Ovis aries: one gene and its partner. The protein of the gene in region 1 interacts with the protein of each later gene in a pairwise test. Links are inferred from orthologs where the notes say so. Each region holds a gene or a part of one and is shown on either strand. Other genes may lie near its edges.

Region 1 (4,487 bases):
AGCCAAGTGGGTCGAAACCCAACCCACCCTCTACTCACTGGACCATGTGCCCTGGTGGAGAAGCAGGGCAGAACCAAGGAGGTACCTTTCTCTTAACGGGCACGAACACACCCTGTGGGCTAGCAGCAGTCCCTCAGACTTTACTGGGCCAAGTCCTTGAATTTATGGGAAATCACTGAACAACTGATTGTGATTCCTGGGATGGAGGTGAGACAGGACTGACTTTGAAGAGGCTCTCAGAGACATTCCCAGCTTGGCGGTTGAAGGCAATCAGGACACAGGGGGCAGTCTCTCCTGGCCCTGCCTCTCTCCGCCAACCAATGCAGGTAACCACCAACACAGTATTGTAAAAAACACTCAAGACACAGACCCAGGCTGGGTTTATTGAAATGCCAGAAGTACGCGTGTGACAAGGGAGCCAAAGAAAGGAAGAAGGTGGTGTCGGCTGTGAGGTGGCAGGGACAGGCCCTGTGTCCTTGGCCCTGGCATCCCCCTTCTGTGCTGGGGGCAGAGTGGGAGCAATTACCCACTCTCCGCCAACAAAATGGCATGCTCAGGCCCGCAGGACCTCTGCCCCCTGCACTGTGAAGGCCCCGAGGAGAGGGATTGGAAGCACTAGTTTTCTCTCTTGTGAAAGAGGAAGAGAAAAGGAGGAAGCAGGAGGAGGGGGAGGTGCAGCCAGGGATGAGGGTGGCCAAGGAAGGTTCTCCTGCTGGCGTCTGCACCCCGCCTGTGGTTCTGGATGACCGAGGGGAGGCAGCAGCGAAGAGAGGCTGAGGGTCCAGCCCTCACGGAGCCATTGCCTCCAGCCAGCAGGGACTGGAGTCAGCCCAAACACAGGACAGAAGTTCAAAGGGATCGAAGATGCAGGCAGTTCCCGAGTGACCCAGTCCTCAGAGCTGGAGGGGCTCGACCTCCATGGGACAAGGAGAGGGAAGACAGGCGGAGGCTCCAGCCCCAGTAGTGGGGGCAATGGCCATCTCCCTCATTTGGCCCTATTAGGTCAGTTCCACATTGTTGGCACGGTCCAGCACACGGGAGCCACGGGCACTGCCCCCCAGCTGGAAACGGCTCTCATAGAGAGTGGGGCAGAGGTGCCAGCGGTTGGCCCGGTAGATGCCCAGGTAGGTGTAGACGTCAGGCTTGTAGGTAAGCAGACACTTCACGCCTGCCGCACGGATGGCTGCATCTGCCTCCAGAACACCCAAGCGGTCCGTGAAGTCGTCCGTATAAACGCAGATGACCTGCCGCCCCCCCTCCTTGGCCCGTGGGCTCACCTTGGCCACCTGCAGCCGGCCCTCAACCACAGCCCGAGCAATGCCAGCCCAGGCGTGGTCCAGCTTGAAGCCAGGTGCCAGGTGTATCAGCCATTTGCCAGAGAGCACTTGGTGGGTGATGGCCAGCTGGCGCAGGGTACCAGGCGTTATGGGCCGCCCGCTGGTCTGCAGAGCTTCCCAGGCGGCCTGTAGGCCCTGCACATCACCCGAGTTGGGGATGTAGCCCTGCCCATACACTGCAATCCAGCCCACGGGCTCAGAGTTGGGCGAGCCAGGGTCCCCATAGCGGGTAACTTGGGACGGCGGGTACTTGGCCAACCAGGCATCCAGCTCTGTGGCAGGTGTCATGCGGGCATCAAACACCAGCCAGGGGTCCATGTCGGCTGCCATGGCCTCTGCAGCCAGGTGCTCAGCAGTGAAGCCATCTTCACGACCACCTGGAGAGTCCTCTTCCTCCAGCTCCTCACCTGGTTCCATCCTGCGGGAGGGAACCGAATCAGGGCAGGGCCGGGACAGACTCAACTTGCTGAGTCCTAGGGGGTGCCAGGGAGAAGGCGATGGCACCCCACTCCAGTACTCTTGCCTGGAGAATCCCATGGATGGAGGAGCCTGGTAGGCTACAGTCCACGGGTCACTAAGAGTCGGACACGACTGAGCGACTTCACTTTCACTTTTCACTTTCATGCACTGGAGAAGGAAATGGCAACCCACTCCAGTGTTCTTGCCTGGAGAATCCCAGGGACGGGGGAGCCTGTTGGGCTGACGTCTATGGGGTCGCACAGAGTCGGACACGACTGGAGCGACTTAGCAGCAGCAGCAGCAGCAGCAGCAGCAGCAGCAGGGGGTGCCAGGCACTGAACTGAACGGTGTGGGCCTGGGCCTCGGCTGCCGCGTCTCCACAATGGATAACAACTTGTTACTGCCTCAAGCAGTTGTGCAGAATTAACCGCCTGAGGTGGAACAAAAGCTATATAAATGTAGTTAGTGTTATTACTGCTCTCCTTGACCTACAAACGAGGAAACCGAAGCTCAGAGAGAAGGGGCTCACTGCAGGTCACACCTTCAGTGAGTGATAGGGCCGAAACGGCAATTCAAATGCGGGAACCGCCGGCCCAGCTACGCCTCCTGGCCCTGCCAGAGCCTGGCCGCTCTCCCGGGCGCTGGGATTTAATGGAGGGAGGCAAAGCACACGTCCTCGCCGCACCGAGGCAGGGCCCATGGGGCCAGGCCTCCGGGCGAGCGTTATCCAACCTACTTAAAGACGAGGGCACTGAGGCGAGAAACGGGCAGTGTCCGATCCGAGACCAACGGGGCGGTGCCTGGACTCGAACCCCGGCTGGATAGAGGCTGCAGGAGAGCCTGCCTCCCGCCCCGCCGCGCCCGCCGCCATTAGTGCCCACGGCCCGAGCTGCGCCCCCGTCCTGCCCCCTCCCGCCAACCCCAGCGTCACCTCCGGCCTTCGCTGCGCTCGGCGCCGGGCCAGCCCCGGGCCCGGCTCCGTTCCTGCCGGGGATCTGCGCCGCTGCCACCGCCGCGCCCCGCCCCCGCCACGGCTGCCGCCGCCGCCGCCATCTTAGTACCCCGGCGCCTCAACAAGAACTTTATAGACAAACGCAGCACAGGGCGGGGCCGGGAAGGGGCGGGGCCATGGGGGCGGGGCCATCAGGGAAGGCGAGGAGGGGCGGGCCTTGGGGGGCGGAGCTAACGTTCGCTCTTCAGGTCTTGGGGGCGGGCGGGAGTGGCGGTTCCGCCCCGGACGGACGCGCAAAGCCCGGGAGGCTCTAAGGGGGAGGGCGCTCGGGCCCTGCCGGCGGCGTCCTGACCGGCGGCGCTAGGACCCTGTAGGAAGCGTTGGGGGCGGAGCCGGCGGCACCAGGACCCGGGGGAACCGCGGCGGACGGGCTAAGAGCAGGCCCGGGTGCCGGGAGGCTGCGGGCGGCGGCGCTGGGTCCGGCGCGGCGGGAGAGGCCCCGAGATGCCGAGCAAGAAGAAGAAGTACAACGCGCGGTTCCCGCCGGTGAGCACGTGAGCGGGCCCCAGAGGAACGGGCCGGGCTCTCGGGAAGCTCCGGCCCAGGCCGGACTAGGGAGGCGGGCGCATCGCCGTGTTCGGGGCCCCGTACGCCCCGCCCCCTTCCGTGCCCTTCCAGCGTGGGTGCCCCCCGCCCCCTTTCTCCCGGGATGCTCCCTCTCTCTGCCCGGCTTAAGCACCCTTTCTGGGACGGAGGCTACGGGGTCCGAGCTGTCTGCCCCCTCCCCAGGCACGAATCAAGAAGATCATGCAGACGGATGAAGAGATTGGGAAGGTGGCGGCGGCCGTGCCTGTCATCATCTGTATCCTGTCGGGAGCTGTCGGGATGGGGGAGTGGGGGAGCCCGGCAGCCCCGGGGTCGCTTTTTGTGGACTGGGCCACCACCCTGCGTTCTCCTTGACCCTCCTCAGCTCGGGCGCTCGAGCTTTTCTTGGAGTCTCTGTTGAAGAAAGCATGCCAAGTTACCCAGTCCCGAAACGCCAAGACCATGACTACATCCCACCTGTGAGTGGCTCCGATCCTAGAGGGCCCAGTTGGGGGTCTTCCTCCAGTTCACACGCCTGGGGGAGGCTGTGCCCTGATAAGGAATTGGTAGGCTGCTGTGAGATCTGTGGATTTGAGGAGGAGGATTAGGATGTTCTGGCCAAGGGGGAGGGTTGGGGTGGAAATTTTCCAGGTTCCATTCCCCTGACATCCACAGAGTCCGTACTGTCCCTTGTTGAGGGCCCAGATGTCTGGGCCTCATCCGAGTGCCAACCCCTTCCCACTTCTTCCAGGAAACAGTGCATTGAGCTGGAGCAGCAGTTTGACTTCTTGAAGGACCTGGTGGCATCTGTGCCTGACATGCAGGGGGATGGAGAAGACAACCACATGGATGGGGACAAGGGTCCCCGCAGGTAGGGTGCCAGGGACCAGTGTCCAGGTGGGGAAGGCCAAGGCCCCTGGACTTGGGGATGGCTGGGGAGTGGTGAAGGAGTGGGGAGACCTGTGGGCAGATGTACTGTACCTTCCCGAAGGGGCCGGAAGCCAGGCAGCAGTGGCCGGAAGAACGGTGGGATGGGAAGCAAAGGCAAGGACAAGAAGCTGTCAGGGACGGACTCAGAGCAGGAGGTGAGTGAGGCCCTAGGCTTCTGGCCCATAGGGTGGACAGGGCAGCCCTATACCAGGCCAGGATGAGCT
Region 2 (3,710 bases), on another chromosome or scaffold:
GAACGAAAACACCAGTTGAAATCAAGTCCTCTTGCTGGGGAGCAACTGAAGTCAACAGTCGCTCAGGCACTTGGTGGCACACACCCCCACCCTCCCCGCTCATTTCTCCAGATTAAGTTGCAGTCAGGCTCCGACCGCAAGGTAAGTCGATTCACCCCCTTCCCCAGCAGTCGGGCCTCTCCCGAATATAGTCTGCAGCCCTGCACCTTGCCCACTGGGCCACAGAAACCAGCAAACTACCCAGCGGCACCTCCTCAACATACAATCTGCTTGCCGAGAAGCAGCACCCAGCACTAACATGAGGGCACACCCAGGATTACCCAACCAAAACCTATTTTTATGGGGGAAAAAAGAGAAAAATTGGCATTCCATTTCTAATCATTACAAGCTTCTAAAATAAGCTCACAAATCTTGTAACTTCTGAAAGCAAGAGGCTTTGCCCACTGAACAGGACATCCTACTAAATTTGGACATGACTTTCCAAATATAAAATTGTTAGTTTTATGAACAGCTAAAAAACTCAAAAAAATAAAGACAAGCATTAAATATTACGTAAGGTTTTCTTTTATTTAAAAGATCATTCACAAAATACCATATCCATAGATTTACTTTCTGTCGTCATATAGCTGAATGTGTTAAGTGTTTGGAATTCCATTCTTACATTTAAAAGTCAACTGGATTGCCCAGAAGTTTAGATGAATTTGTTTTGTTCTTAATCTTTTCCACATTGAAGATGTAAGTAGGTCATCTGAAAGCATCAGGTTTGATTACAACCACATAATGCATGTCTTTCTTTAGGTAAGTATTGGTGTTACACAAATGGTTCTTATCTCAGAAGCAAAGATGACAGGTGGAAGGAAGGATAGGAGGCAGAGTTCTGTGGATTGCTGAGACCTGGGGACAGGGAGAAGCCGAGGGCGGCAGCTAACGAGGAGCTGTTTCCTAAGCGCGCCGCCCAGGCCCGGCTGCCCCGGCCCTCCAGTCTTGCTGGTGAGGGTCTCTCTTTTCCGGGGCTCTAGCCGAGCCCGGACTGCTCCCAGTGGGATGAACTGGGACTCGGGTGCTGAAAAATGTGTTCACACATAGGTGTCTGAGCTCAAAAGCTGCTGCCTAGCTGCCCGGCCCTGGGTGCGAGCTGAACACTCTATGTGGGAGTGAACGTCCTGAAGCTGAGACCTGGTGACCTTGGGCCACCTCCCTGTTACCTGACAGCTCTGCATAGTCAAATTCTCAGTTCATCAAGTGAGAGAGTAAAGTGCCAGATCCTAGGCCCATTTTCATTCCAAAATTAAGGGACGGTGGGAAGCACAGGCTCTCACTGTGACTTAATGCTGGGGGACAGAGAAGCACAGAGTGAGGCAGGACACACAGTGGGGGTCTGAGAGGGAGCCGCGTCCACACAGGGGTGAGCCCAGCACAGCGCCGCCCCCTGCGGCCCCCAAAGCACCTCTGTGCCCAGCGGAGAGGAAGCTGGACGGCAGTTCACCACATCCAGCCACAGAGGGGCCTCTAGCACGGCTGGTGCCCGAGGGAGACCAGCTTGGACACAGTGCTGGAAGAGTGATAAAAACACGCGAGCGCAGCAGGGCACTGAGTCTGCCTCCTGCGTGCACGCCCCACCGACAGTTCACACCATTCTCTCAGGTTCTGCTGTTTGAAACGTGAGCCTCTTCCGCGTGAACAGCCCATCTGGGAAGCGGGTAGTGGAGTCAGGACTACCTATAAATAGTTACAGGAAGGAATCTGCAGAGATCAACAGATACTTTATCCTTGTTTTGAAAGCAAGGTGTCCCAAAGGCTGTCTGTTGATCCCAGCTGACTAAAAACAAGGGGCTATCCAACGTGGGACTTGCTTTCTTCCTCGGAAGCCACAGCAATACAGAACTCGACATGCAGGTCAGAAGAGAAGCAGTGAGAAAAGGCAAAGGAAAAGGCCAGTGCGGCAGAAGTAAAAGGCGAAAGCAACGGCAAGAAACGCAGCACTCCAACCCAGAGAGCTCCCGCACGGCGCCGCCTCTGCCCCTCTAGAGAAACTCGTGTGCCGGAAGGAGACAAGGAGCGGGGAGGGAGGAGGACAGAAGGGAAAGGGGAAAGGAGTGGCAGGGAAGAAAAAAAGCACAAAACAGGCACTAGGCAGATACAGCAAAGCCAAGAATGTACTAAAAACCACTTGTTAACTGCTGACATGCACTCACAAGCTCTGTGTTTCCGTTGTAAGAAAGGAGGACAAAGGTCAGGCGCAGGAATGGTAACTGCAGGACTGCCGGTCCGGGGGGCGAGCCAGGCTGTGGTCTCGCGCGAACGCCCCCCACACCCCCATTCCCTCCCCACCACAAGCTCATTCTTGCTCCTTGTGAACGACTTCCTCTCTGGGCCTGGCTCCCCCAAAGATGGCAGAGTTGGGGTTGGCTACTTGATTGAGGGGTGTTGCGACTGTTCGAGGTTTAAGCTGGAGCCGTGGTCTCTGTGCTCGTTCCTCTGGGGGAGGGAAACACAGCGCGGTTTACCGAGGCGTCGCGAGAAGGCGCCCTCCTGCCGCCCGTTTACATGTCACCATCATACCTTCTGTGGGTTCTCTGAAATCCATATTGGACCCTCGAAGGGGAGGGCCATCTCTGAAACGACTTCCCATTGGGGGGCCTGTTCGCCGGTCACCTGGGCGACTCCCTCCCCGGCCTCCTAAGAAGTCATCCCTGAAACCTGTGGAAGGAAGAGAACCACAAAGGACTTTTTATACTCCTGTCTCAAAGCTGATTATACAGCTGTGTGAACTGTTTGCGCTCCATTTAAAATGCCTCAGTTTGTCCAGCATCAGAAATTTTTCCGAGATCAAGTGCACTCAAAACGGGTTTAAATGTGAATCTGCTGGGCAATTTCAACACTGACAGACTTTTTTAATCGTAGAAGATTAAAAAAAAAGAATCTTAGGAGAGAAAAATTAAATAAGCTGTTTAAATTCTTAAGTTTGTAGGAGAAGTCAGTAAGATTGTATCCTAACAAGGCTTAAAATAAAACTCAAAGCACATTTTATTGTTCTGATTATAATCTATAGTTGTTAAAAAAAAAAACAACCCTGAAATTTAGAAGTTACAATTTAGAATGCAAAATCACACACACAGCTAGATTTGAAGACAAAATAAAAACACCAAGTCACCCCTGGGTGACCACTCCCCTTTTTCCAGTTTCTGCTGCCATTCAGGTGTGTATCATTCTAAAAGCAAAGCACCTCTGTGTAACCAAAGCTCTCATCAGGCCCACTCCCTTCCCAAAGAGGGAGTCAGAGAGCAGGAACCACACATCCAACCCACACCTCTTACAGCTGCAAAGGGCTTCCCCCCAAGTCCTCTGTGCATCCGCTAAAATAATTACCAACACAAGTGAACTGCATCTCATTTAAAATTAGAGTAAGCTGCCATTGTCTTCAGTGTGAAAAACATTTTCTCAATGGACTTTTAAGAACCTTAAGCCTTACTTTGTTTTGTATTTAACTGAAAGTCACTGGGGAAGGGGGCGAATTGTCTTAAGATAACCTTTTAACAGCACAACCTTTCGCTCTCAATAAAAATTTAAGATCACAATTAAACAAATGCGCTTGCCCTCTATGTTTAAGCTCCTGCAGGTGACTACTTTCAGTCACTCCAAGGGTGGTGTCACTGCTCAAAGCTCTGTAGGAACTTATACCTGAAGAAGGATCCTGAGCTTGAGGAACA

Evidence for each region.
Region 2: the proteins of C21H11orf68 (region 1) and EIF4H interact in binary tests that used the Homo sapiens proteins (3 or more experiments, as listed by UniProt). The two-hybrid records come from large-scale screens. The link is inferred for Ovis aries from reciprocal best matches to the Homo sapiens genes C11orf68 and EIF4H.

Annotation. Positions count from the first base shown.
Region 1 is NC_056074.1:40,461,866-40,466,352, forward strand, and holds C21H11orf68 (UPF0696 protein C11orf68 homolog), read right to left. Parts: upstream 2,872-4,487; 5' UTR 2,850-2,871; coding exon 2,728-2,849; intron 2,245-2,727; exon of another isoform or gene 2,003-2,244; intron 1,756-2,002; coding exon 999-1,755; 3' UTR 364-998; downstream 1-363. Other genes in the region: DRAP1 (dr1-associated corepressor), read left to right, coding at 3,253-3,294, 3,538-3,610, 3,719-3,812, 4,085-4,204, 4,325-4,418.
Region 2 is NC_056077.1:33,653,878-33,657,587, forward strand, and holds the end of EIF4H (eukaryotic translation initiation factor 4H), read right to left. Parts: intron 2,701-3,710; coding exon 2,563-2,700; intron 2,479-2,562; coding exon 2,339-2,478; 3' UTR 547-2,338; downstream 1-546. UniProt on the Homo sapiens protein: Stimulates the RNA helicase activity of EIF4A in the translation initiation complex. Binds weakly mRNA.